Linked DNA regions of Nothobranchius furzeri. The protein of the gene in region 5 binds, or shares a complex with, the protein of the main gene of each other region. Links are inferred from orthologs where the notes say so. Each region holds a gene or a part of one and is shown on either strand. Other genes may lie near its edges.

Region 1 (4,169 bases), on a different chromosome or scaffold from region 5:
ATACCAAAAAGACACCCGTAACTGAAGCTGCGCCCTATAACACAGTGCGCCCTATAGTCGTGAAAATACGGTACTTCATTTGGATCCTACCTCAGAATATTGATGCAGCCACTGCCGTTTGTGAGGAAGAACATGTCATTGTCGTTGTTCCAGGAGATCTCGTTCACCTCGAACTTGAACTGCTCCTCCGCCCTGGAGCGATGCGTCTTGGCGTCGATGAAAGTCACCACATCGTCTTTGTTCCCAACAGCAATGGTCTGACCGTCGGGACTCCAGCAGATGTTGATGTTCTCTCCTAAAGTCAAAATAAACAATAAAAAAAAAACACATTATTTTTGAACAACATAATTTCAACTGCTAGAATAAGACAAAAACATTTAATTTCTCTATTTCTAGTACAAATGACGACCCATGGTATCAAAGTACTTTAATGAGAGGCTGACCGACATGTTTTTTAAGGCTGTTGCTGATACAGATTTTTAAAGGATTTTGTTGCCAATGGCTGATATCTAAAGCCAATTATTAAAGCTAATATATAAATGTTTTAGCAGCACATTGATTGTGAAAGACAACTGAACACTCACTGTGTGCAGCATAAAGTAAATGAATCTCTTAATTATTTATTGAAGTTGTAATATAAAACAAACTCAAAACATTAAAAAACGGTGTGTTGGGGTCCTTTGAGTCCTATCTTCATCCTAGTAATAGGGGCAGTTGGCCTGATTTTATTGTATTTTTTTATCAGCTTTTATAAATAATTTCGGCCGATGGCTGATATAGAAAAAGTTTAATATATCAGTCGGCCTCTAAATGTCATCACCCAAAATAAACTGGAAAACATTTAATTTTTTCGGTTTCAGTTTCTGGCTCCAAGCTATTTTCTCAAACTGTATTTTAAAACTAGTTCAAGTAAAGCTTTTCCTCCTCATATTTTTCTTTAAAACAATAAGACGGCCTAAATGTTGCAGCTGTTTAAGTTTTTAACCAGAGCTCAGCATGTTTGGGTTTTGTGTAAATCTGCAGAAATTAATACTAGACAGAATATTTTTGTTTGACGTGTTTTTTTCTTCTTCCATCTGATCAAAAAACCTGTTGAGATTGGTTGGGTTTGCACAAGCTGGGTTGATAAACGATTACTGAGGAAATAAGAAAATATCAGACAATGCATTGTTCCAGTCAATTATTTACCCAGCCGCCTTTCATTATGTAGTTACATGTTAAAAGATGTACATTTGTACTTTAAAATAACTTTGTAGTTAAAAAACAACAATTACAGGGAAAACTAGTCCTGATGTCTGTGGATCCTTTTGTAACACATTAATAAATATTACTGCCCCCCCCCCCCCCCCCCCAAACTACAAAAACAAAAAGCTGTAAGCTTCACCCTAAACTGTTCAAAAGTGAGAGGAAAAGCAACAGCAGAAATATAGAACCCAGACCAGTGCTGGTTGAAGATGTGACCGTCTATCTGTTCAAAGCACTGCTGGGTCAGATTTCAGCTCCAACAGGTGTGATCACCCTACCTTTCGTGTTGACTGTGGCGATGCATTTAGTGGTGCGTACATCCCATATGCGAATGGTTTTATCTCCAGATGCTGTGACAAAAAGGTCAGGGTTGGTTGGATGCCAGCACAGCTGATCCACACTATCACTGTGTCCTCTGTAGTTGTTTTCTTTCACCTGGTGGGAAAAAAATCTAACTGAATAAACTCAGTTACTTTGTTAAAATGTTTTGTTTAAAATGCAGATTCAGTCTTGCATCTTTTATGCATGAAGTTTAGTTTTATAACTTTGTCCTGAACATATTTAGCCACATTAAGCAGGATATAAAAAAACGCTATAGAAGTCATCAGTAGTTGTATTTAACTCAATGGCAATGTGCCAAAGGGTGACAGTCTTCTAATGCAGCCTGAATCTCATTCTCCTGGTTTCTTACAGCGAAGAGGCATTTCATATTAAAATGACTTAACTCAGTAAACCCATTCCGTTTATTAAACGACCAGTTATCTACTCTGTTGTAACTGTTAATGATGGGATTAGACCGGTGTGGAAAACAGTTAAAATTCTAATGTTAGCCGTAGCAAATACACACAGCAGCTAGCTTTGTCTTTGGTGATGCAGGCTAGACGCCCAAGAGGCTGCCACAAACACACTAAACAACACGACCAGACTGAATACAGTAACCCCCATTACACCCAGAAAAATGCGCGCGGAACCGCAGAAGAACATCATCCACTGTCTCGAACACGTCTACCTACCAAAAAACACGGAGACAGCTACCGGGTAGCAACCACAGAACTCCTCCTTCCAAGAACAACACCTGAATCGCGACTGTCCACCCTTCAACGAATCTCACAATAGGGTCGCCCAGTGTCCCCCGCAACGCAGGAGATCCGACTGCGAAGCGACTCTCCGGCTTATTTTGAGCCACAAAATAATCACAAGTCACAACCCAACGCACCATGACGGTAGCCAGCAGGTCACGCCAAGACCCAGAGCGCCGTCATTGCTGGCGCGCTACATCATTGAAACAACCGGAACTCACCAAACGGTCCTTTTCCAGGACAAACACGCTGGCAGTTTTATCAAACGAACCGGAAGCCAGTCTCCTGCCGTCACAGCTCCAGGCCACCGAGTGAACTTTCGCTGAATGAGCCTGGAACTCCCGACTTTTATTGTTGTTTTTGAAGTTGTCCTGCATCTCCCGGTAGTACTGAGACGCCATCTTGGATTGAGAACTCGATGTTGAAGCTGAGTGGAGAGCGCGCGAGCGACGCCTGTTGACTCGGATGTGTTTAGTTAGAATGTATGGAAAGCAAAGCAAACAGGGTCGTAATTCCAAGAGGACCTGGCTGCAGAACAATGGCGACTTGAGCTCACCTTCAATAGCAAGAAGCAGCGCTTGTTGCGAGGAAACAACGGAGTACGGCTATGTTCCAATTGACGTCCTCATCCTCCTGTACTCGGTAGAACAGACTTTTGTGTCCTTGCCAACAACATACTTGACTAGTACACAAGAACATACTAGCATACCTGAGTACTGATAAACGGCCAATGTTTTTCCTGTATTCAAACTGGAATGCTTAATTTCGGCAGATGATTGTTTTTTACTTTAAATTGTACGGAACAAAACACTTTGAAACATTGATATAATGACCCTCAAAACAACAATAAACAGTAATAACATTATCTTAGTTATTTAAACCTGATGGCTATTAGAACAGACTTTTTATCTATGCTTATTCTGGGCCTTGAGAGTTTTCTAATTGGTTATGATTAAAAAGCCTTAAAGACCTAAAAATTTGAAAAATAAAATGTAATTAATTAGGTGTTGTTTTTCTTAAAGAGCAAGTCACCCCCTGCCAGACTCCTCCACCCCCACTTCATGTATGAAAAATGCAACAAATGCTGTTGCCTGGCAGACCAAAAGGGCGGAGACGACAACTAGACACACACATCCGCTGTGTCTCAATTCAGGGTCTGCATCCTTCGAAAGACCCAGCCTACTCGGCCGACTTGGGCTGGGTCCTCCGTCGGCTGAGTAGACCGGATGTTAACGGCTGTGAATTTGGACAAGCCTAGACTTCATGAATTCCAGCCACTCCCTCACGAACATTCTGTCGCCTAGCAACCGTGGAACCGCTGAGCAGAAGGGAGAAGGAAGGAGCTCGAAATTTTATTTAGCTTTTTAATAATTTCCTTGACTGTTGGAGAGCTAATTCAGAGAAAATACTTTCGACAAGCTGAGCCTGAGCAAAGATGTGATAATAGTTTTTAATACTTTTTAAGGGTCTTAATTTGACCAAAACCGATTTATCACCTTTTAAGACTTTTCAAGACCCAGCGGATACCCTTTAATATTAAACAATTCACATTTGTAAACAAAAATAAAATTCAAGTGTTTAATACAGAACTGATTTTATTTAGATGTTTCTTTTATATGTACATGTTTAATCTTTCTTAACCATTTTTTCTATCAAAGTAAAAAGCCTGTAAAAGTTCTCTCTTCTCTCCTGTGCCCTCTGCTGCTCTGCAGCCTCATGTCCTCCCTGATCAGCTCCAGAAGCTGGTCATCGCTGTCACCTTCCCCTGGATGCCCATTTTCTCCAGAATAGTCTTAACAAACATGTAAGAAAAAAAAACAGGAAGAGAAAAGATATAGAAAAGAG
Region 2 (3,613 bases), on a different chromosome or scaffold from region 5:
TGGTTCGGTTAAAACAATTTACAGGGGTTTGCAACAAAGTACATAGTGATCATTCACATAGGAAGTCAGAGGCTTTCTTTCATTGTGGTTTATTTACTACATCAGTAAATTTTGGCATTCATTTTTAAATAAATGAGCAAAACCATAATTCTTGTTACAGACGTCTTATTCTCAGAAGAATGTAATTTTGTGAACTTTAAATCAGAAACTATTTGATAGTTTGGTATGAAAAAATGATAATTTAGTATGAAAAAAATGATAATTGGGTTTAATGACACTTAGATTTTACAAGTATTCAAACTCTCACTTATAGTGCAGAAACTTCCAGAGAAAATACAGCACATATGAATGTTCAACAACTGTTCTGTCCTTGACTGACGCGTATTAAATTTCTTTTCTGATCAGAGTTTCAGTTGATTTTCTTAAAAGCCTGGAAGCTTTGGTTACATTTTTACTGAGATTATTTTAATGAAAAGAGAATATAAGAATTAAAGATATACTCCAAGATGACAGCTTTATTCAAAAATACATACAAAAAAGGATTCTTAGACAAACTAAATTTCAATTAAAAGCTGTGACTCCTTCAGTTGGGCTCTTTATGTGTTCAATCCCCATTCTCCATGGGACTCTCCTGACTGTGGTCGTCACTATCTGACTTTTCATCATCTAGGAAAGACAGGATAGACGATGAGGGCAGCTCTGACAACAGTTTGTCTGTATAACCAAGTGGCTACTTACTTTCTAGTGTCTGCTGCAGCTCCTGAATGGTAGTAAGAAGAACATGAAACTGCTTCTTCCTCAACTCCAACTAAAGAGAATGCAAACATGGCATAAAAAGTCAGTAAAAATACAACTAAATCTGATACTTTAACAACATTAGGCCGCTGTGTTTGAGTTTACCTTTGCATCTACGTTCTCTTTGATGTGAGACAGTTGCTGGAGTTCTTTATCGAGTGCCTCCAACTGCCTGGAAGGTAAAACAAAAATGAGCACTTTATTGAACATGAAGGGGAGCTTGACATGTTTTATCGATAGGCTGACTTACTGGAGTGTTTCATGTCTGTCTGGGTGTTGCTGGATTACCTTTGCTAAAGCATCATATTCTTTGGAGAGACAGAGAACAGATACTTAAAAAAAAGTTTACATCCTTTTGACAACGCACATTTGATACCACATCTGGTAATTTTTCTGTAAATACAACAGATGTTAAAATGTCCTTACCCTGGCGATTTTTTCGTATTCTCTTGGCACGCAGAATTTCTTTTTTGCATTCTGTGATCTTCTCATGTGCAGATGTGATGTTTTGTTCTGCGAGGTGCGAAAGAAAAAAGTTTGATTAGTGTTAATTGGGCGATGGTGGCACAGGAGTTAAGTGCTCGCCCCATAATCAGAAGGGTGCAGGTTCGAGCCCCGCTCAGTTGTAGCTACGATGTAGCTCATCACCACCAGTGTGTGAATGTGTGTGTAAATGTCTGATTGTGTTGTGTTGTAAAACGCCGTGGGGGGTTCCAGGACTAGAAAGCTCTATAAAATACAGGCCATTTGGCATGTATGACTAAAAGAATTAACAAAAAATTCTGTGACATTGAAAACAAAGCCGATCTTACCTATGTTTGCGTAGATCTTCTCATAATTCTCCATTTCACGAAGATTCATGTCATAAACCATCAACGTCTTTCCCATAGAAAACTCACACTGAGCCAGAGTAGCCACCATCCTCTGGTACTGAGTGAATCTACACACAAAGAGCCCAATGTTCAGCATTTCACTGCAGTTGTGTACTCGGCATTCAAGATGTTACAAGCAAAAACTGGAGACAGATATATTGCTAGCTCGTACCCTTCTTCTAGGGTCCCAGAAGGTGAGTTGCACCACTTGGTGAAGCTCTTCAGCAGCAGATTGATTCGGCGGTCATCTCCAGCTCCGTCACCGTCAATGAGAAGACGTTTTCGAATCACCTCATCTGTGGAACATGCAATAAAGCAGCTGAAGAGCGTTGAAAACATAATGCATCTATGCTAAGTGTGCTAGCTAACGTCGCTATTACAGGTAGCATTTCTGGGTATTTTTCCAGATAATAAGGCGCAATTTACAATGTTTTAAACTTAGACGAAAACAAAAGTAAAGAGTAACTTAAGTGCTGAAATTAGTTAATGATAAAGCCACAAACCATCAGTTACAGCTCCCATGTTGCTGTTTTTCTTCTTCTACTACTTCCGTTCTACTGGTACTGATTGATCTTTTGTCTTTAGGCAACTCAGACACAGCTGAGCTCGTTACTGCCTTATCTGGTAAGAGGACGTTACTGCATGTTGTGATCTTTTCGCTTCATCTTCGTTAAATAATGTGGATTTTAAGTATACAGTGATTACAGTGATTATGTGACACAGAGATTTAGTTTAAATGCAATTTAGTAATACCACTAGGTTTTTTTATCACACAATCAATTACAAATTACACAATCAAGTGATGAAATTGAATTACGGTAGAATACATTTTTCAAAGGCAAAATGAATGCTGTAATCACTTTTTGCTGTGTAAAAAAACGCCTCAATTATGTATGAGCAAAGCCCTGCTCATAAAAACAGCATATGTTGTGTTTGGTGCTGGTTTAGTGGTAGATCAGCATACAATGCTGGTCTAGCAAGATGGTTCAGCATCCAGTCACCAGCTTCCCATACTGGACAGGCATTGTACACATCTTTTAACACAAAACCCTAAACTTTTGCAGCTGTTCAAAAATAAGCACTTTCTTGACATCAAAACGTGTCTTTAAAATTCACAGACATATATGTGAAATATATGGCACATATCAAATAGGATTAGATTAGGATTAGAAAATAGCCTCTCCCTGGGCTGCCACCTTAGCGTGGTGGAGGGGTTTGAGTGCCTCAATGATCCTAGGAGCTAAGTTGTCTGAGGCTTTCTGCCTCTGGTAGGGTCACCCACGGCAAACAGGTCCTAGGTGAGGGATCAGACAAAGAGCAGCCCGAAGACCTCGTATGATGAATTATATAAATGGAAAACGTGTTGCCTCACCCGGACGTGGGTCACCGGGGTCCCCCTCTGGAGCCAGGCCTGGAGGTAGGGCACATTGGTGAGTGCCTGGTGGCTGGGCTTTCACCCACTGAGCCCGGCCGGGCACAGCCCGAAGAGGAAACGTGGGTCCCCCTTCCCATGGGCTCACCACTCGTGGGAGGGGCCAAAGGGGTCGGGTGCAGTGTGTGATGGGTGGTAGTTGAGGGCGGGGACCTTGACGGTCTGATCCTCGGCTACAGAAGCTGGCTCTTGGCACATGGAATGTCACCTCTCTGGTGGGGAAGGAGCCTGAGTTCGTGTGTGAGGTTGAGAGGTTCCAACTAGATATATTCGACTCACCTCAACGCATGGCTCTGGCTCTGGAACCAGTTTCCTTGAGAGGGGTTGGACTTTCTACCACTCTGGAGTTGCTCCCACTGAGAGGCGCCGAGCAGGGGTGCGCATACTAGTTGCCCCCCATCTTGGTGCCTGTACTTTGGAGTTTTCCCCAGTGAATGAGAGGGTAGCCTCCCTCCGCCTATGTGTGGGGGGACGGGTTCCGACTGTGGTCTGTGCTTATGCACCAAACTACAGT
Region 3 (3,941 bases), on a different chromosome or scaffold from region 5:
TGTGTTTCTAATTATTACAGACGTGTTTCTAATTATAACAGACGTGTTTCTAATTATAACAGACGTATTTCTAATTATTACAGACGTGTTTCTAATTATTACAGATGTGTTTCTAATTATTACAGACGTGTTTCTAATTATTACAGACGTGTTTCTAATTATAACAGACGTGTTTCTAATTATAACAGACGTATTTCTAATTATAACAGACGTGTTTCTAATTATAACAGACGTATTTCTAATTATTACAGACGTGTTTCTAATTATTACAGATGTGTTTCTAATTATAACAGACGTATTTCTAATTATTACAGATGTGTTTCTAATTATTACAGACGTGTTTCTAATTATAACAGACGTGTTTCTAATTATAACAGACGTATTTCTAATTATTACAGACGTGTTTCTAATTATTACAGATGTGTTTCTAATTATTACAGATGTGTTTCTAATTATTACAGACGTGTTTCTAATTATAACAGACGTGTTTCTAATTATAACAGACGTATTTCTAATTATAACAGACGTGTTTCTAATTATAACAGACGTATTTCTAATTATTACAGACGTGTTTCTAATTATTACAGATGTGTTTCTAATTATAACAGACGTATTTCTAATTATTACAGATGTGTTTCTAATTATTACAGACGTGTTTCTAATTATAACAGACGTGTTTCTAATTATAACAGACGTATTTCTAATTATTACAGACGTGTTTCTAATTATTACAGATGTGTTTCTAATTATTACAGACGTGTTTCTAATTATTACAGACGTGTTTCTAATTATTACAGACGTGTTTCTAATTATTACAGACGTGTTTCTAATTATTACAGACGTGTTTCTAATTATTACAGACGTGTTTCTAATTATTACAGACGTGTTTCTAATTATTACAGACGTGTTTCTAATTATAACAGACGTATTTCTAATTATTACAGATGTGTTTCTAATTATTACAGACGTGTTTCTAATTATTACAGATGTGTTTCTAATTATTACAGATGTGTTTCTAATTATTACAGACGAGTTTCTAATTATTACAGACGAGTTTCTAATTATTACAGACGTGTTTCTAATTATAACAGATGTGTTTCTAATTATTACAGATGTGTTTCTAATTATTACAGATGTGTTTCTAATTATTACAGATGTGTTTCTAATTATTACAGATGTGTTTCTAATTATTACAGACGTGTTTCTAATTATTACAGACGTGTTTCTAATTATTACAGATGTGTTTCTAATTATTACAGACGTGTTTCTAATTATTACAGACGTGTTTCTAATTAAAGCAGATGTGCTTCTAATTATTACAGACTTTACAAAACCACCCTGCTTAAAATACACACAACAATGTCAATAAAACAAGAGACTGTTAATGTCATCTTTTAGGGACAAGCATAATAATGCAGTCACTAAAATGAATGGTAGTCAATGTCAGATCTCCACATGAGTAGCAATGCAAATGTGTGTGTGTGTGTGCGAGAGTGAATGACTGAGTGAGTGAGTGTGTGTGAGTAAGTGAGTGTGAGTGAGTGTGTGTGTGAGTGTGTGCTCTTGTACACACCACCTACTGAGGACCATTTGTACCATTTTCCCTACAAAGTGAGGACATTTTTCTGGTCCTAATTTTTTTTAGAAGCTTACCAGTTGGTTTTAGAGGTATGGTGTGAATTAAGTTTTAGTTAGGGTTAGGAATAGATCAGCATTGGTAATGGTTATACAGTCACAGAAATGAATGGAAGATGTGTGTGTGTGTGTGTGTGTGTGTGTGTGTGTGTGTGTGTGTGTGTGTGTGTGTGTGTGTGTGTGTGTGAATAAAGAGAAGTGAACTGAAAGTACCTTCACCGTGCTCATCTAGGTATGCTTGGAGTCGGGCGATGAGCTCTCCTTTGTTCCCTTTGGTCTCCAGACCTCGAGCATCACACTCCTGCCTCAGTTCAGCAAGCTGCGTCATGAGAAGAAGGGGAAGGAAAACATGTTAAATCATTTAAAATGTAAGTAAAGTAGTCTAGTCAGCAGCCTCTTTAGGATCATTGGCAAATGTCAACATTTGAGTTGCAGCCGTTTGTAAACAGGCTTGTTTTGTGTGCGTAGAAATGGACGCTGTACAAAACAAATGATGAACCTGGTTTAAAACAGAGCAGCTTCTGGATCTGCTAACCCTGTTTATATGCCAGAAGGGTTTGCGGTTTTACTGGATGATGAGAACAGAAATGCTTTAAAATGTATCATTTCAGTGACTATTTTATTCTATAAAAGTACTGGATTTTATTTTTCCAAATCAAGATTTTTGTTTTTATTAGATAATTTGCTCCACCAGATGATCTGTAAAATCTAACAGCGTGAGAAATATTTGATAGTTACCTGACCCTACTGAACACTGGTTGATTTAATCATGCCATCATTTATTTTATTTTTCGTTAATCTAGTCATATCTTGATAAAATCATATGTTGGACCGTCCCATGTTGCAAAGCTACATGTTTCGGCGCGCTAGCAGCGGTAGCTCCTCGGACACACGACGCCGGCTTTCAGCCTTCACACACAGACGAGACGATTTAACCTCTAATCCCATTTACCCTGAACCCACTACGTCATTCTGTAATAAACAGAAATCAACACCCATCCGTCACTTATAAAGGTGTGAAATCAAACTAAAATCGTAATTTTAGGTCGCTACCAACCTTCAGTTTATGCAGTTCCACCACTTCCGCCATCTTTCTTTGTTGACGTAAGTCTTCCTCCAATCAAAAGACTAGCTCCTCTCATTCTGAGCTCCACCACTTGCGCGCTGTCTTCTCACACTGCCCCCTGCTGGACACTGACCTTTTGCAGGTAAAATTCTTCGAGCTTTATACGTTTACACAGGGGATGAACAGTGAATTTAAAGTTGTAGCTGGACTTATGCCATGACAATGGACTATAGAACGTTATTTCTGTAGATAAGAATGTAAACATTGTTTTCCTAAAAAATAAAAATACAGCTCAGTGTTGTTGATTCATGTACATTACTTGGTTCTTTTTTTTAACACAGCAACAGTTGTTTTTACCTTGTTGATGACATTTTGACAAACACTGTAGTGTTGTTAGTGTGAATGTGTCTGTGATTGGGTGACTGATTGTGTTGTAAAGCTCCTTGGGGGGTTCCAGGACTCTAGAATGTGCTATATCAATTACAGGCCATTTACCATCTTCCTCGGAGAAAATACCCAAGTAAGTTCTTTGGATGAAATACACAAAATGAACAAAACATTATAAAAAATTAAAGTTCAAAGTGTTTCTTAGATGAAGGTTGATTTAGGTAAAGCCCAGACTGACTGGTTATCATGATTCATGCATGAAATTAATAAATTATCTTTCCCTTTGTCTTACTGGACCACTGCTGACAGCGGGAGACAGAGATGTTCTTGTTGCTAGGCAACACCGTTTTCTTGTTCCTCTGATGGCTCACAAGAGACAAAGAGAGAAAGATGGACATTTACTGGGATTTTAAAACAAGTGACGTTTAAGGCCATTTCATTTACTGTTATTTAAACGTATTTGAGTACACTTTCCCTTTGGTCAACAACACTTTGACTCATTTAAATGATTTATGTCAGAGAACAAGTTGACACGATTAAAGCTTTTTTATCACAGGAATGAGAATCATTGGTGTTACAGAGCTCTCATGACAGCGAGGAATATAGAACAAATCACCTTTCTATTTACACAGATGTCCATTTACACATAAGCCACACAAGCAGATGCCAGTGTGCCAGTCAAAAATATGCTAAATCGCTTCATAATGTTTAACTGTACTGAAGAACCTGACACGTGTGACCTGCAGTCATGCTTCTTTACATAGGGGATATAAAAGTCTACTGCTGAATGTGCTGCTCAGTGCTCTTGTATTATGCAGCCAGTTGGGTTGTCCATGATGGATGTCAGCTTGGA
Region 4 (3,786 bases), on a different chromosome or scaffold from region 5:
AAACCGCCACAGGCTGTGGTGTTTCGTTTACCTGTGTCCAATAAGCATTTAAAGCTCCTGTCAGACTTTACAGTTTACTTATTTTTAAGTTTTAAATGTTGCACTGCAGCTTAATGTTTTTTTTTTTTCCATAAAATGAATTTTTAATCACTCACTCATTCTCAGCAAGACTTTTTATGATGTTAAACTATTAATTTTAATACTAAAACTTAATTTTTCAACAGAAAAAGGCACACATTCCACATTGTGAAATGCTAAAACTTCAAATTAAAAGCCTCCTCAGCCTATTAAGACATTTTATTCTTAGACTTCTGGTGTGTTCAGCCGTGTTTTAATGTGAAAAGCATGAATGCCATCCTTCTACTTTTTACTTTAATTTTTAGGTGGTTTCAGATTAAATGAGACAGTTTCTAACAAATCCAAACTAGTGTTAGGTGTGTTTTTGATTTGAGGTCCTTTAATCTTCATCTGATTTGAGTTTTTGTCTCTTTTGCTGCAGCTCATGAAGGTGCAGTTTTCAGTCTTCTGTCCACAGACTGTGTCCTGCTGAGTGCTGGAAATGGAGAGATCAGTGCCTGGAGCTGGACTGAACTCATCAAGAAGGTAACGCTACATCTGGTAGATAACCTGTACAGCAGCACAGCTTCACTTGTGAAATGTTGTGAACTTGATGTCCTCAGAATGTGAAATGTCTTTGGACGAAGAGGCCCAACTATAGGTGAGGACATCTCTCCTGCCTCCCGTCCAACCTGAAGGTCACGTACTAATGCCTCTTCTGGTCTTTTGGCAGATCAAGTCTGGAGATCCCAGAGATTAACTCCATGGTCATCAACACCCAAGTGAGTGAGTGCGCGCGCGCACACACACACACACACACACACACACCTGCTCAACAAAACAGAGTTTAAGAACTGACTGAAGAGGATCTGATATGGAAACATCTGGCCTGTGTGTGTTTCAGGACAACAGTCTGGTGATTGGAGCTGGAGACAACAACGTCCACATCCTGGACCTGGAACATGGAGACTTTAAGGTGCATCAGCTTCTCTGCTTATTGTCTTTGACTAATGAAACAGCATCAATGCTAAAGGAAACTCCCGACGTCACAGAAATCATTTTACTTTGCCTAAACTAACTGTTGGCGCTATTTGGGTTACAGTGATCCCTCGTTTATCGCGGTAGATGCGTTCCAGACCTGGCCACGATAGGTGAAAATCTGCGAAGTAGGGACACCATATTTACAGTACAGTGTCAGAACCCAAGTTCCCAGGCCAGCCTCTTCCAGCTAGCCGGCCTCCACTATGGACCAAAACTCCCAGCATGCCCCTCGCGGGGATTCCCTCCACGTCGCATCTACGTCACAAACCGCGGCTATAATCGGAAGTCGCCTTTCCAGCTCACCACTCAGTCATCGTTTCTTCATATTCATGATCAGAGTTTCCAACCTACTGATCCATCCCACGAACTATCAGCTCATAGTAAGTTATCTTACTTACTTCTGGAAAGCCCGGCATTTCCTTGTCACTTCGTTGATGCTCGAACGCTCGGGGGTTTCCTAGATTAATCGTGAGCCGGCGTTTCACCGACGCTATCTCTTCCGTGTCTGTGAAACCACGCTCCCTACAAGCTCAACTCCCGAATCCAGCCGACCAGTCTGATATACAGTACTATATTGAATTATCGTATGATCACATTCTCTTTTTGTGGGTAAAACTCAAGAAAAAAAATTTTTTTTACTTGTTTTTTTTATAGTTTTATTACAAAAAGTGCATTTTATGATGAAAAAAAACAGGAATTTCTTGATATTTCGCATAGAAAAATACCGCGAATCGGCGAATTTCCCTTGAATAAGTCTCCAAAGAAAAAATCCGCGAAGTCGTGAATCCGCAATAAACGAACCGCAAAGTAGCGAGGGATCACTGTACTTACAGTTGTTGGGTTATTTATTGGGTTTAGTTGTTGGTTAATGATGATTTAATTTATTTATTTTAGTTTTGCCTGTGAGAATCAGCCAGGAACAATAAATATGGGGACTGGTGTTAGACCAGCATGCACTGGGGTAGGCCTATAGTTTTTTTTACCAGAGCAGGAGAAGCGGCAGGAAATGAAGATGTGCATCATACTTGACAAGTTGGATGAATAAACACCAAAAATATTCATCAGTTAAGATTGTTTGGACATTGGACTTTTTTTTGCCTGCGTACAAGATATCACTTGAGTGCAGCAGGGACCCAAGGATTTAAAACCCTCAGGAAAATCGCCACTAAACTAACCTCACACAAACATGTCTGGCCTATGTGTGCAGACAGCCCTTCAGGGTCACACAGACTATGTGCACTGTGTGTGTGTGCGTGAGCGGGAGTCCGAGCTTCTGTCCGGCAGCGAGGATGGATCTGTGAGGATGTGGGGTGAGTTACAGCAGCTGGGTAGGCCTTCCTCAGCAGGTGATGGTGATGATGTTGTTGTTGTTCAGACACCAGGACGGGCCAGTGCGTTCACTGCATTGAAGTCTACAAGTACGAGGTGAGAGCTACATGCCAGTCAGCAAGGATCACCACATTGTGAGAATATGCTGAGTGTGTGTGTGTGTGTGTGTGTGTGTGTGTGTGTGTTTCAGAGCTGCGTACGGCCTCAGTACGGTAAATGGATCAGCTGTGTGACCACAGACTCTGACTGGATGGTAAGAAAACAGCAGCTTCAGCTGATCAGGACTGTGTGGTACCGCGCATTAACAGCTGCAGGTCTCACCTGGGAGGACAGTTTTACACACATGAGTTGTTTTTGTGTCCCTGCAGGTGTGTGGAGGAGGTCCGTCAATGTCTCTGTGGCACCTCCGCTCTCTGTCCCCAACATCCGTGTTTCCCCTGAGCGGCTGCCAGCGCCAGGCAGCTTTCCACCAGGACATGGTGAGACACAATGGCCCACTTCACTCAGAGTGGAGGACAAACAACAATATGTCTGTGTCTGTTGTGTAGATCCTGGCAGTGGGGCAGGGTGCATTTGTGTCTCATTGTCTTCTGGGTGGAGATGTCAAAGCTCAGATCCCATGCACACCCTCAAGTCTCAACACTCTGCAGCTGAACAACAGCTCAGAGCACCGGGTGAGTCCCTGAACGTAGCACAGCAGGTTCCTAACCGGTGTGAGGAGCACCTGGTGAAGGTGTTTGTGTTTCAGGTGCTGACGGTGGGAGGTAGCAGCAGCCACATTGACGTGTTCACCAACCTGTCCTACAGAACCTTCTCACTCAGCTTCTGAACTTTCCTAATAAAATGTTTTTTACAAACAGTTTTTGTCATTTAAATGATCAGAACCAGGATCTAATCTGGCTCAACAACGTGGTTCTATAAAAAACGTATAATCCTCTTCTCTCAATCCAGCAGACAAAAATCTCTCCATCACAGGAGGAAACTGTAGCTTCAGCTCTTTAGAGGACTGCGTTTCTCTCAGGGCTGTCCCTCACAACTCCTGCTGGTGAAGATACTTGAGCTTTTCTTTTCTCAACTGGTACTTTTTGTTTTGAGGTCAAAAACTTTCGGACATCTTTCTCAAGCTGATCTACATTTTGGAGTGAATGATTTATAACAGGTTTTTAATTAGAGCCTTAAAGATACAAACTAGCGTCTCCTCTTTCCATAAAACTATATTCGTAACACATTCAGTCAATTCTGAACCATCTCTTGGAAACAATTTTGTCTCTCTATGACCGCTGCCAGAGCTTGGGCCACGATGCCGGCAGTAAGTTGGACACTGCCAGGCCTGCCATTTGTCACCAATTCAGTTCATTA
Region 5 (2,781 bases):
TCAGCTTTAAGCAGCTGCTGCAGCGCAAAACACCAAAAGTGGAAGTTAGAAAATCAAGAAAAAACGATCTAATGAATCAAATTATAATCTTTGCCACTGGGGTTGCTAAATATAGACACTCTCAGTGTAATTACATAGAATCATCTATAATTTAATAACTCTGAAGCGTGATATCGAGCTTAACTTGTGATGCTAAACCAAAACCCGCTATGATACAAGTGCTAAAATAACGTATCCATATTTCCAATAAGAACACGCTGCTAAAGCCTGAGAGGTCAAAGGTCAGCTGCACACATTAAGCAAAATGTTGCCTTCCACAGGCCTCTGTGGAAATGACTCAGCTTGCTCCAGCAGGGATCCACAACTGAATAATAATCAGATATCTCTGACTAAAAAAGCTATAAATAGAACAGTACAAAAGAAGTTAAGAGGACAGAAAAGTGATGAAACACAAAAATACAGAGTGAGCCTACGTGCACAAGAGCCAGAGACAAAAAACATTTGTTCCAGAAAACACTAAGATGTTCTTTTATTTTCAAAATGTTTAAAAAGAGGACTTTGTGTATGAAAACGTCACAAAGACAACGTGATGACAAGTGTAGAGACGATTAACGGTGGCTGAAGAAACCCTGAGGATGGTTGTACTTGAATGGCTTCAGACGACTTGGCCCCCTGCATGGAGACAGAACAGGTTAATCTAGTCAGCGTCTTTTATCTCGTTTGTAAAATAAACACACACACAAAAACAACACAATAATAACTGCATACCTGACAGTGCGCAGGCACATTTTTTCTCGGGGGAACTCACGAGGTCCCTCTACGCTGACATCTTGTCCTTCAGTCTCCAAATACACATCCAGGCAGACGCACATCCGTGCGATCTGATTGGTCAGCAGCTGATGTCCCGGCCGTGGTCCCTGCAGCTCGTGTTTGAAAATGTTGACTTCACTCTCCATGGCCTAAAGACAGGTCATGTATATTCTATAATTATAGGAGGCACAGCTTTCAAAAAGCCCTGTGAAAAACATTAAAACTCTGGATTTTCATACTCTGAGGTTGTCATCAGTGCGTCCGCTGCACTCTCCTTTCCAGTTTAGACTCAGGGAGAAGAGAGGAGCTATTGCTGGGTAACGAGGACTCAGAACCACTGCAGCATGGAGACGAGCTGAGAGAAGGACAAGCGTGGTGTTTGTTTATTGGAGAAAAAACAAATAAACAAGAGCCAGTTCTGCTCTCAGTGATTGGACATACCCGTGCCTCTTTCTAGGACTCCCATAAAGAACAGGTCTGTCTCCTTGGCTAGTCCAGCCTCAGTTACATGACGGGTATACGGCAGATCCTTCAAAACAAGAGCAATAACACACTCATTCAACAAATAAACAAAAGAAAAGCATCAAAATATTTGTTTCAAATAAACTATGAAAGACTTAAACTCTACCATGTACTCCTGGTGACTGATGGTGGTCCAACGTGCTAAACGAGAGATGATCTTGGCTGGAAACAGATGCTGACACTCACTGGAGACTGGGATAATGTTGTGTTCTGAGGGCAGGAACACAGTCAGTTTCCTCTACAATTATTATCAATCGGAAGTATCGGACTGGTAGTTGTCACACCTAACGAGGCAAACTGTTTTTGCAGAGCCAAGCGGGACTGGACTCGCCCCCTCAGCAGCTTCATGGTGCTCTCCATGTGGCTGGCGCTCAGGGAACTGCCCACAAGCACACCCTGGCACAGGGAAACAAAAATAATGTTTTACATTTTGAACTTTGCTCTGCTGGGATACTTCTAGATGCTGTAACACACCTCTGAAGATTCACTAGGAAAATGCAATCCTCCGAGATTCTGGACCCACATGTAGGGATATCCCAGGTCCTCCACATAATCAGCAAATGAAACGATCCTAAAGAGAAATTTAACTGTGTGACCCAGGACACACACTCATACTGCTTCTGATTGCTTGACACACTTACCCAACTTTATCAAACTGGTAGCGATTGGCTGGATTGGGAGTTTCTCTTCCCTGGTCATTAGTGTACAAGCAGCTGAGGAGGGTGTCTGACTTCAGAAGCTCCCTGAAAAAAGAAGTCATCATTAGACCTTTGGGAGCTCATTAAGGACATGTCCAATTGCTCTGTCTACACACACCCTGCACTGATGGCTGAGCTGAGATCTGTGGTGGTGGAGACTTTAGTCTTGACTGTCATGATGTTCAGATTCATGAGGTAGAAGAAGTAGAGATGAAGAACGCTGCCGTCTGTGGAGACCAGAGAAAAATATGTGCTGATTAACCAAGCCGCTGCAGTGTAGGGGTCTTTTTTATGAATCCTTCCAGTGATAGCCCTCCTGGGTTTCTTGTTTTACGCTGCAGTGAGTCAGAAAGCAGCAACTGGGTGTGGTCAGAACAGGAGCTGGCAGCACCCAGGGAGCACAAAGAACGCTGATGGTTACCTTTCAAGCACGACACTCTGCAGTAAAGGCGAACTCAGAGACACACTGTCACTCACTCACAGCCACACAGCTCACATTTTGCTTTTCCTGCACTAAAAGAGGCTTCTGCAGCTGGCCAGAGTTAGAAAAGGATGTAGGAACAAACGTCAGTAAAAGGGAGAGAGTGCTTTTGAGAGAAAATGCTTACAAGATTCTGTAGGTGCTGCAGACCTACGATGCTGCTAGTTTCTCCCTCACCTCGCCCCCACCCTCCCACTTGAGGTAGCGTTATGCCTGCAATGCAGATCTCCCTATAATCTGTCATCAGATTCCTTTAGTTGCCAGCAGAGG
Region 6 (3,657 bases), on a different chromosome or scaffold from region 5:
TAAACCCTAGAAATGGTTGTGGGTGAAAATCCCAGTAACTGAGCAGATTGTGAAATACTCAGACCGACCCGTCTGGCACCAAAAACCATGCCACGCTCAGAATTGCTTAAACCACTTTTCTTTCCTATTCTGACCTTCAGTTAAGAGTTCAGGAGATTATCTTGACCAGGACCACACCCCTAAATGCACTGAAGCAACTGCCATGGGATTGGTTGATTAGATAATTGCATTAAGTTAAACAGGTGTTCCTAATAATCCTTTAGGTATGTGCGCACACACACATGGTTCACAGGATGTAGTATAGAGAAGTTTGTAGGTCTTAGGTTTGAACGTCCAACCTTCTAACTGGTGACGTTTTCCCAGTGAGACACAGCCATGGAAACCATGTCCCTGTGGGCACCAATCGCAGAACAAAAGCTAAGATCACACCAGGACATCTGCTTTTCTACATGCTCCAGAACACCTACAGGCCTTAAATGTTTGACATGAATCAGAAAATATCTCATTCATCATTTTATTTCCTTAACACAACTTGGGAAATAATTTTAAAACAAACATCTTGTCAGCTTCACGGAATACAAACAACCCAAAGCCTGAGCACTTCTTTCCCTGTCAAATATAAGAGAAAATGACTCGTCTTAAAATTCTTGTAAAATTATCATTTTAAAAAACGTTTCCACTGCAAGTTTAAGATGAGCCAAAGAAACTCTGGAGGTTTGAGGAAAAACTAAGAAAAACTAAACAGTTTACACCAAACACCTGTTTGACTAAAACTTCATACAGGAAGTCCGTGGACATCAGGGTCAAAGTCCCCTTGAGTTTATTCATCAGCTGATTGGCTCTTCAGCAGCAGGTGGATGCACGGCTAAACAACAGGGTGCAGCAACACCACTTGACGCTACGCCCCAGTCTTCAGCTCTGGTCTCGCTGGGCCGTCACTCCATGCTGTCGGGATCTGCCTGGGCCATGTAGGCATCCAGTTCTGCATCCAAGTGTCCCTTGGTCTTTGACATGTACGCATCCAACTGATTGTCCAGTTGTTCCCTTGTAACGGTGGGCCGGCCAAGTCCTCTGCCCCGCCCACGGCCGCGGCCCCCACGACCAGCAAATCCCCCACGTCCACGAAGTCCACCACGGCCTGAAGACAGAACATCATCAGTGAGACAGTGAAAAAAAAAAAGACACGAGTCATCAAACGATTGTACTAATAAATACAAACTCTACCCCGGCCTCTGGGCATTCCACCTCGACCTCCTCCTCGAGACAGAACTCCTCCTCTTCCTGCCACTCCTCCACGATGCCGACCTCCTCTACGCATGGGGAAGCGTCCGATGCCCCCCCGACCTCTCATAGGTCCACCTGTAGGCATTCGCCTGGCTGTTTAACACAATGTGATTGCTCAGCTGAGAGGAAACACCCCTACCATCTCCACGCTGACGGACACCTACCCCTCAGAGAAGACAGACCCCCACGAATGATCCCTCCTCTCAAACCCCCTCTGAGGCCTCCTCTGGTCATCCCCCGCATGCCTCCTCTTCCTCCAGGAGGTCCACCCCGCATCAGAGGCCCAATGGGCCGGCCCAGCCGGGCCTGGATGTTGCCTTTCCCCAGACGTTGCTTTAGGCTCTGGTGGTTCAGAAGGATCGGTCACAGCAACAAATCAGGAACACAAATAAAGCGAAGCAAGAGTAGGTCCAGCTTGTTATCCCAGCTTTCCATCAGACGCGCGAGCGTCACAAAATGTCCACAAAGCGTAGTACGTAGCACTTAGCTTCTATTATATTTACCTGTAAAACCTCTGTGACTGAGGTAAACAGTAAGTACACCACAGACCTGCTAGGATACCGTTACCATCTTTCTCCATGCTTGTTATCACGTGAACCGCTGAAATCATGCTTGATCTAGCGTTTTCCTGTGATTTTGTAACGTTGTGGGTCCAGCTGTGACACATTCACTGCCGCTTCATGTCAGAAAATCTCCCGGTGAGACGATATGCACCGCTGAGCTCGTGAGGAACCGCGTCACTTATGCATCCAGTGGAAAGCTCAGGTTAAGCCGGGTGTACACTGTGCGACTTTTTCACTTTTTTGAGCCGATTTTCCACTCGTGCGAGAATCCACGAGATCGGGGCGAGTTTTGCGCTGAGCGTCGTGTACAGGGGGCTACGAGAGGCGATTAACACCACGTGACCAGCTACCGATCAGCAATCGTGAGCTCGCACAGACTTCTGGCGTGTTTAATATTTTGCTCGTCCCTCGTGAGGGTATCGCACTGTTGAAGCGGCGCTGCGAGCAGCTGCGACCCAAAAAGTACCAGAACCGCTCACGGCACATGCATGCATCAACACCGCTCGCCCGCTATTTCCCTAATAACACACGTTGTTCGTTTTTATTTTCTACACTTTTTTTACTCACAAAGGTTGTCAAGAAAGCGTGTTTGTCGTGTTCATGTCAAATTAAACTGATCACAAAACACAGATTTACTTTCTTTATTTTGTTTTCCTCATCCAACCCCCATAAATCCCTGTGTGTCCCCCTGCAGCACTCCCGAAGGACAACAGGCAAAACAAGACAAAAAAGTCTGACGTGTTGTGTAAAAACTGCTATTTTTAGCACATTTTTAGGGCCGACGTGTTGCTACCAGACGTACAGCGTGAGCAGTCAGATCGCATCCGAGAACTGGGTCGTGCAGTGTGAGCGCACGACTCGTGAGATCTGCTCTGTGAGGAAGTCGTACAGTTTGAGCTGAAGCTGAGTGCTACGAGTGAAAAAGTCGCACAGTGTCCGCCCGGCTTAAGGGTACAACAAGACTATTTGGACATCTCACCCCTGATTGGCTAACAGCAACACAACTCTACCACTAACCTTGTTTGATTTGCATCATTGATGTTTTACCTCCATAAATGAATGAGTTCTACTGTATAGAGTAGCAGCTAATGCTAACAGTTAGCTTCTATTAGCCAAGGCAAGCTCTAGTCTCTCCTGAATGCTAAACCAACAACTGCCTTCCCCATCTTGAGCCAAGATGGCCGAGTCCATGAATGTTAACTTACTGTGAGGTAGATCTGACTGGCTTTGCTAACCTGAGAATTTCCTCGTCTGTTTTCTATCGGCTAATGCAGGAAAAAGGGGTAGAAGACTATTCACATATTCAGCCTGCATGTGAAACTCAGAGTGACCAATCATTTAAAAAAATAACACATAAAAATGGTTTCTCAGTGAACTTGTTCTTTAAACCTTTTATCAGCTATAAAGCAGCTCGTTTCGATTTGATCGTTGTCTCACTCCCATTTCTTTTTTGTTGCACATTGAAGCTCTACTTGGGACCTTGTTAATGACCAACCAAACAAACACGACGTTTGGCCATTTTCAAATGGTCTTAAACTTTTGATCAGGACTGTACTTCCCAAACAGCAAATGCATCTTCTGTCAGGCTTGGGTTTGGTTTCAATGATAATTCACTGATAAAACCAGAACAGAATCTTTCTGACTTGAGAACCCATCAGACCTTTGCTAACTTGTGCCCTTTTCCCTACTGAACACAGCTTTAAGCCTGATTTATGCTTCTCCGTCTGCGTCAGTGCGGAGACACGCAACGCCATTATCCGTCCTTGCGTAGGGATCCGGCAGGCACGCAAGTCCGTACGGAGTCGAGCCC
Region 7 (3,947 bases), on a different chromosome or scaffold from region 5:
AAAGGGGGTTGAACACTCAAGAAAGTTTGAATTATTTAGTCATGTCAAACCAGAAAAATGTAAACAAGGTCTGAAGCGTACCATCCAGTGGGATGCCGTTGTACTGTTTCATGGCCTTTAGAGCGTCAGCTCTCCTTTCAAAGTGGACATCTGCTGTTCCTAAGCTTCTTCCCGACCGGTCGTAATGAACTGCAGCTTTCTTCAGAGTTCCGAATTCCGCAAAAAGTTCCTTGAAAAAGTACATCCAAGATTAGTCTAAGACAGCAACAAGCCATAAAACACAACCAACCAGTGAAGCGCGGATTTTGGAGTACCTGAATGTCTGCATCGGAAACACCGAAGTCGAGATTGGAGACGAGGAGCTTCCCTCCAGTTTCCACACCAGCTCCCCCGCCACCCCCAGCAGCACCATTGAAGCCACTGAAGCCGTTGTCGAACATGTCGTGCTGCCACTTGTCTGGGAGCTGTTTAGGCTGCAACAGATGAAAGAGAACGCACCTGCTGACTTCAGGATCCCCTTGCCTCTGCCCATCACTGAGTCCACACGGCTGGCTGTTGGGGCAAGCAGGGGGCTCCACTTCCAACATGGTGCTCAGCTCCCTTTAGAGGGGGGGGGGTCCCCAGTATTCCCTGCCCACCCCGTCACAACGAGCAAGTGCATCAGCTCAAAGGGACGTGCACACAAATACTCAAAAGCAAGGGGATTTGTAGTAGTCTCGCTTCGATTCAAATTTTGAACTTTTTTAAACGTTAACACACCAATGTTGGGCCATCTTAAATCGGAATGTGTACAAACATCACAATAAAGTCCATACTGATTTAAGTTAGTAAAAACATGCTCAAACTAGGGATGCAACGATACCACTTTTTTCCAAACCGATCTTAGTACTCGCCGATACCAATACAGATACTTCTACCACACAAAAAAAAAAAAAATGCAATGATTTGGAATGCAGATTTTACTTTCTTCTCTGCTTTCAACAGGAAAAGACTGTGAGGTAGATAAAAAGTAAAATATATGAATGGAAATCATCACAAAACTAAAATATTAGGTGAACAGAAATGACAAGTTACAGTGAAGCCATTTTCAAGCAACTGCATTGGTATCGGTTCCTGGTATTGGTTAACTTTCACCGATACTGGTATTGGTATCGGTGCCGATACCAGTATCGTATCGGTGCATCCCTAGTTCAAACTCACTGGTTCCCAAAGTTAGGACAGGACACCAATGTTGAGATTATCAAATTTAAAAATAATTGACATATATGAAGAGAAAACATCTAAACAGACCAACTGACAAGCGTTTAGTCTTGGTGAAAGTGGATGGAGTCATCTTCCTGTCCTAATGTAATTGTCTTATTGGCTATTTGTACGTGTCCGTCATGAATAATGAAGGTTTTTAATCACAGATCTTGTAAATCAGAAGTTAAAAGATCTGGGAGCCACTTGTTTCAATCACTCTAATCAACTGTCTAAAGAAAAATGGTCCCATTAAAGCCCACTTAAAATAAAAATGTATTCTTTAGATCCAAGTTTGATGTAGTAAATGGATTAAAAACAAAACCATAAAAACAAAACTCAACAGTCCTGTTCTGGGTTTCTAGTGAAATAAACCCTAGAATAGACTAACGAGCCTTTCCAGAAACCTAAGTATTACCATCACAGATATTTCTTAAACCCAAACCCACAGACTTGATGCTAAACCTGTAAAACTCCTCAGACTAGCTACCAGAGATGCCCATTGTTCTCGCCATCTGCGCCTCCCTCCAGAAAAGCCAGCTCCTCGGGACACTCGGGGACTCCTGTTCGATGCAGCGGCGTCTCCAGCGCTGGTACTTTGTGTCCTGGACCTCAGAACAGTTCTCAGTAGGGGAAGAGTCCGTGTGCTGGATGAGGAGTGAAAATGGCCAGATCTCCCCTCTGCGTGAGCGTCCATTTTGAAACCACGCCATTTTGACTGGGGCTTTGTTTGGCTTCGCTACCAACTCGATCACACTTTAAAAGACGAAGAACCGGTTTTGTTTGGGCACTAACAGAGGAGTAAAAGTCCGCTTTTCCATCCACAAGTAACAGGCAAACTGGTAGAAAAAGCCACCAGAGGGCTTGAGAACCCACTCCCCGAACAAAAGGCCGCCTGGTCGCTGCGCTGGCGGGAACTTGAGCACATATCCCGCTCCGACAAGCAGTGAAAACACACTTTCGAGTGATACTCTTGACGAAGTGGGTTTCTTTCACCACCGTGGCCAGGATACCTCTCACTGAGCACTCACTGACGACTAGCTTCACAATGCGGGGCTGGATTCAAAATGGCGCTGAGGGCCTCCACTCCTTCCGTAGGCTGTTGAAGCTCGACGTGCGTTACACATTTGGGTTGCGGGAGAAGGGACACAATATGAAAACATTTCTCTGCTTATTCCTCTAACATTCTCATACCCTGCTGTAAGGCGTAGGTCTGCCTCTAGCGCGACTCAGGTTCTGTCGATTCCTCATGGGGCCGGATCCACCGCCTCGGCCTCCAAAGCCTCCGCCGCCGCCTCCGAGTCGCCCAGCGCCTCCACCCCGGCCGCTGCCTGTGCCTCCGCGGCCACGGCCTCTTCCTCCCCGGCCTCCACCTCTCTGCTGCCTGCTCTGTTTGATAATGTCGTCTAAAGACATATCCATCTTATCGGTCATTTTGCTGCCCCAATAACGCTAAACTTTGAACAAATTAAGAATGTTACACCCTAGACACGGTCGGTCCCTCTCCCTGTCCCTTTCAAGGCTCAACGGTGTCTGATTCTTGTAGCAGCTGCTAAACACAAGTAGTAGAACACGACGTTCTCTACGTAAGCCTGACGTGAGTACGTGAACGTGATCCCCTCTACTGTCGACGATGAGGCGGAACCGGGCGGAGCATGTATCTAAAAGAAACCTTGACAGGAAAATGTGCGAATTGTGCAAAAGTTCTACACAGATGTGGTAAAATACAGAACAAATAAATAAATATTTTTTTGACAAATATGACATATAACATTTGATCGAAACTAAAACTGTAAACTGAAGAAATAACCGGGAAAAACTAAACCACATCAATCATCAATTCTTAAAAGAAACTTTCACAAAGTCAAGGATTTTAAAATAATATAGTTAAGTGTTTAAAGAGCAAGACACTCCCAGATCAACTTTTTTCTGATAAACTATATAAATGCGTATCTAACCGTGCTGCAGACACGTGTAGTTTTGCACTTTTGTGCATTTAAGTTAAAATTTAAATTTTCTGCCTAAAACTGTGAGTGTTGTGCCGTTGTCAGGTAAAAACTCTGCACTGCATTTGAATTTAAATCTGCCATCGTTATTGGCAAAGGGGTACCCTAGAACGTTAGCTGGTAGCATATGATGTCACAATGTCGTTGTGTGTGTGTGTATTTGTTAGCGGGCCCGCCCTCTTGGTCTGCTAGGCAACAGAATTTGTTGCATTTTTCAAACAGGAAGTGGGAGCGGAGTAATACTCTGGTAGGGGGTGACTTGCTCTTTAAGCAGTTACACAGAACTGGTGATGGCTACTGACCCCTTAGATTTCTAAACTTTTGCTTTTTTTTTTTTTTTTTTTTGCACAACTAACCAGTTTTGGGTTGCTTTTAGCAGCCCCTAGTGTTCTGTTAGTAAAACCAAAAGTGAAACTGTGCATTCACCTTTTTAAACACCTTAATCCATAATAATGTCTCCCCATCCTTCCTTAATTTCTACAGGAGCAGCTCATCACTAAATTGACCAAACCAGCAGTGTTTATGATCTAAAACATGCAGGAAGCAGACTGCAGCACCAGGCATGTCAGCTCCACAAGTCCAACTCTGAAGTTGCAAGTGCGACATTCTGGCCATAGAGGGTGGTCGGGGTCTGAGTGACATTTCATTAACCCTGTACAGGGTTGTTTTAGCACACACTGGCTCAAGAAAATTTTAAAATAT

What was found.
Region 1: thoc5 (region 5) and thoc3 share a complex: the UniProt entries of both Homo sapiens proteins name them as parts of the transcription/export (TREX) complex. The link is inferred for Nothobranchius furzeri from reciprocal best matches to the Homo sapiens genes THOC5 and THOC3.
Region 2: the proteins of thoc5 (region 5) and thoc7 are in contact, whole or in part, in a cryo-EM structure (PDB 7APK), measured with the Homo sapiens proteins. The link is inferred for Nothobranchius furzeri from reciprocal best matches to the Homo sapiens genes THOC5 and THOC7. Residues at the interface, in NP_001002877.1 of Homo sapiens: Pro48, Asp51, Tyr52, Tyr55, Cys59, Leu62, Gln63, Met66, Ala67, Gln70, Phe95, Lys99, Leu101, Asn102, Ala105, His106, Arg108, Leu109, Gly112, Arg113, Gln115, Thr116, Ala119, Lys120, Val123, Tyr126, His127, Leu130, Leu133, Glu136; in NP_079351.2 of Homo sapiens: Ala21, Asp23, Ile27, Leu30, Val31, Phe34, Tyr50, Met53, Leu54, Leu57, Cys60, Glu61, Met64, Gly65, Thr67, Leu68, Val70, Tyr71, Asn74, Met78, Tyr81, Ile84, Tyr85, Ile88, Glu89, Ser91, Ile92, Ala95, His96, Lys98.
Region 3: thoc5 (region 5) and sarnp share a complex: the UniProt entries of both Homo sapiens proteins name them as parts of the transcription/export (TREX) complex. The link is inferred for Nothobranchius furzeri from reciprocal best matches to the Homo sapiens genes THOC5 and SARNP.
Region 4: the proteins of thoc5 (region 5) and thoc6 are in contact, whole or in part, in a cryo-EM structure (PDB 7APK), measured with the Homo sapiens proteins. The link is inferred for Nothobranchius furzeri from reciprocal best matches to the Homo sapiens genes THOC5 and THOC6. Residues at the interface, in NP_001002877.1 of Homo sapiens: Pro406, Gly407, Asp538, Ile539, Val540, Asp541, Ala542, Gly543, Leu544, Ser575, Ile576, Ser593, Asp596, Arg599, Glu602, Gly603, Asn606, Val607, Tyr609, Arg660, Phe662, Arg663, Gly664, Pro665, Ser666, Arg667; in NP_001334633.1 of Homo sapiens: Val5, Pro6, Ala8, Val9, Pro10, Leu11, Gly12, Gln13, Val16, Phe17, Leu20, Gln21, Leu23, His24, Met25, Thr26, Phe28, Tyr45, Tyr80, Asp94, Glu125, Val126, Pro127, Glu128, Asn130, Gly146, Tyr170, His172, Glu188, Trp222.
Region 6: thoc5 (region 5) and chtopa share a complex: the UniProt entries of both Homo sapiens proteins name them as parts of the transcription/export (TREX) complex. The link is inferred for Nothobranchius furzeri from reciprocal best matches to the Homo sapiens genes THOC5 and CHTOP.
Region 7: thoc5 (region 5) and alyref share a complex: the UniProt entries of both Homo sapiens proteins name them as parts of the transcription/export (TREX) complex. The link is inferred for Nothobranchius furzeri from reciprocal best matches to the Homo sapiens genes THOC5 and ALYREF.

Annotation. Positions count from the first base shown.
Region 1 is NC_091741.1:68,371,711-68,375,879, reverse strand, and holds the start of thoc3 (THO complex subunit 3), read right to left. Parts: upstream 2,801-4,169; 5' UTR 2,726-2,800; coding exon 2,546-2,725; intron 1,681-2,545; coding exon 1,524-1,680; intron 296-1,523; coding exon 91-295; intron 1-90. UniProt on the Homo sapiens protein: Component of the THO subcomplex of the TREX complex which is thought to couple mRNA transcription, processing and nuclear export, and which specifically associates with spliced mRNA and not with unspliced pre-mRNA.
Region 2 is NC_091743.1:56,272,747-56,276,359, forward strand, and holds thoc7 (THO complex subunit 7 homolog), read right to left. Parts: upstream 2,277-3,613; 5' UTR 2,190-2,276; coding exon 2,171-2,189; intron 1,964-2,170; coding exon 1,840-1,963; intron 1,736-1,839; coding exon 1,608-1,735; exon of another isoform or gene 1,309-1,607; coding exon 1,222-1,308; exon of another isoform or gene 1,104-1,221; coding exon 1,046-1,103; exon of another isoform or gene 968-1,045; coding exon 901-967; exon of another isoform or gene 809-900; coding exon 739-808; exon of another isoform or gene 667-738; coding exon 605-666; 3' UTR 501-604; downstream 1-500. UniProt on the Homo sapiens protein: Component of the THO subcomplex of the TREX complex which is thought to couple mRNA transcription, processing and nuclear export, and which specifically associates with spliced mRNA and not with unspliced pre-mRNA.
Region 3 is NC_091755.1:36,669,277-36,673,217, reverse strand, and holds the start of sarnp (SAP domain-containing ribonucleoprotein), read right to left. Parts: upstream 2,801-3,941; 5' UTR 2,726-2,800; coding exon 2,693-2,725; intron 1,955-2,692; coding exon 1,849-1,954; intron 1-1,848. UniProt on the Homo sapiens protein: Binds both single-stranded and double-stranded DNA with higher affinity for the single-stranded form. Specifically binds to scaffold/matrix attachment region DNA. Also binds single-stranded RNA. Enhances RNA unwinding activity of DDX39A.
Region 4 is NC_091745.1:30,130,796-30,134,581, reverse strand, and holds the end of thoc6 (THO complex subunit 6 homolog), read left to right. Parts: intron 1-499; coding exon 500-603; intron 604-680; coding exon 681-718; intron 719-790; coding exon 791-839; intron 840-961; coding exon 962-1,033; intron 1,034-2,305; coding exon 2,306-2,408; intron 2,409-2,473; coding exon 2,474-2,523; intron 2,524-2,617; coding exon 2,618-2,680; intron 2,681-2,795; coding exon 2,796-2,906; intron 2,907-2,975; coding exon 2,976-3,101; intron 3,102-3,175; coding exon 3,176-3,256; 3' UTR 3,257-3,286; downstream 3,287-3,786. UniProt on the Homo sapiens protein: Component of the THO subcomplex of the TREX complex which is thought to couple mRNA transcription, processing and nuclear export, and which specifically associates with spliced mRNA and not with unspliced pre-mRNA.
Region 5 is NC_091757.1:44,988,790-44,991,570, forward strand, and holds the end of thoc5 (THO complex subunit 5 homolog), read right to left. Parts: intron 2,258-2,781; coding exon 2,149-2,257; intron 2,076-2,148; coding exon 1,974-2,075; intron 1,904-1,973; coding exon 1,807-1,903; intron 1,729-1,806; coding exon 1,617-1,728; intron 1,543-1,616; coding exon 1,439-1,542; intron 1,340-1,438; coding exon 1,252-1,339; intron 1,166-1,251; coding exon 1,050-1,165; intron 960-1,049; coding exon 769-959; intron 673-768; coding exon 609-672; 3' UTR 501-608; downstream 1-500. UniProt on the Homo sapiens protein: Component of the THO subcomplex of the TREX complex which is thought to couple mRNA transcription, processing and nuclear export, and which specifically associates with spliced mRNA and not with unspliced pre-mRNA.
Region 6 is NC_091751.1:23,238,926-23,242,582, forward strand, and holds the end of chtopa (chromatin target of PRMT1a), read right to left. Parts: intron 1,627-3,657; coding exon 1,449-1,626; intron 1,378-1,448; coding exon 1,225-1,377; intron 1,139-1,224; coding exon 936-1,138; 3' UTR 501-935; downstream 1-500. UniProt on the Homo sapiens protein: Plays an important role in the ligand-dependent activation of estrogen receptor target genes. May play a role in the silencing of fetal globin genes.
Region 7 is NC_091752.1:50,607,747-50,611,693, reverse strand, and holds the start of alyref (THO complex subunit 4), read right to left. Parts: upstream 2,801-3,947; 5' UTR 2,674-2,800; coding exon 2,434-2,673; intron 2,170-2,433; exon of another isoform or gene 1,937-2,169; coding exon of another isoform or gene 1,730-1,936; intron 474-1,729; coding exon 315-473; intron 230-314; coding exon 82-229; intron 1-81. UniProt on the Homo sapiens protein: Functions as an mRNA export adapter; component of the transcription/export (TREX) complex which is thought to couple mRNA transcription, processing and nuclear export, and specifically associates with spliced mRNA and not with unspliced pre-mRNA.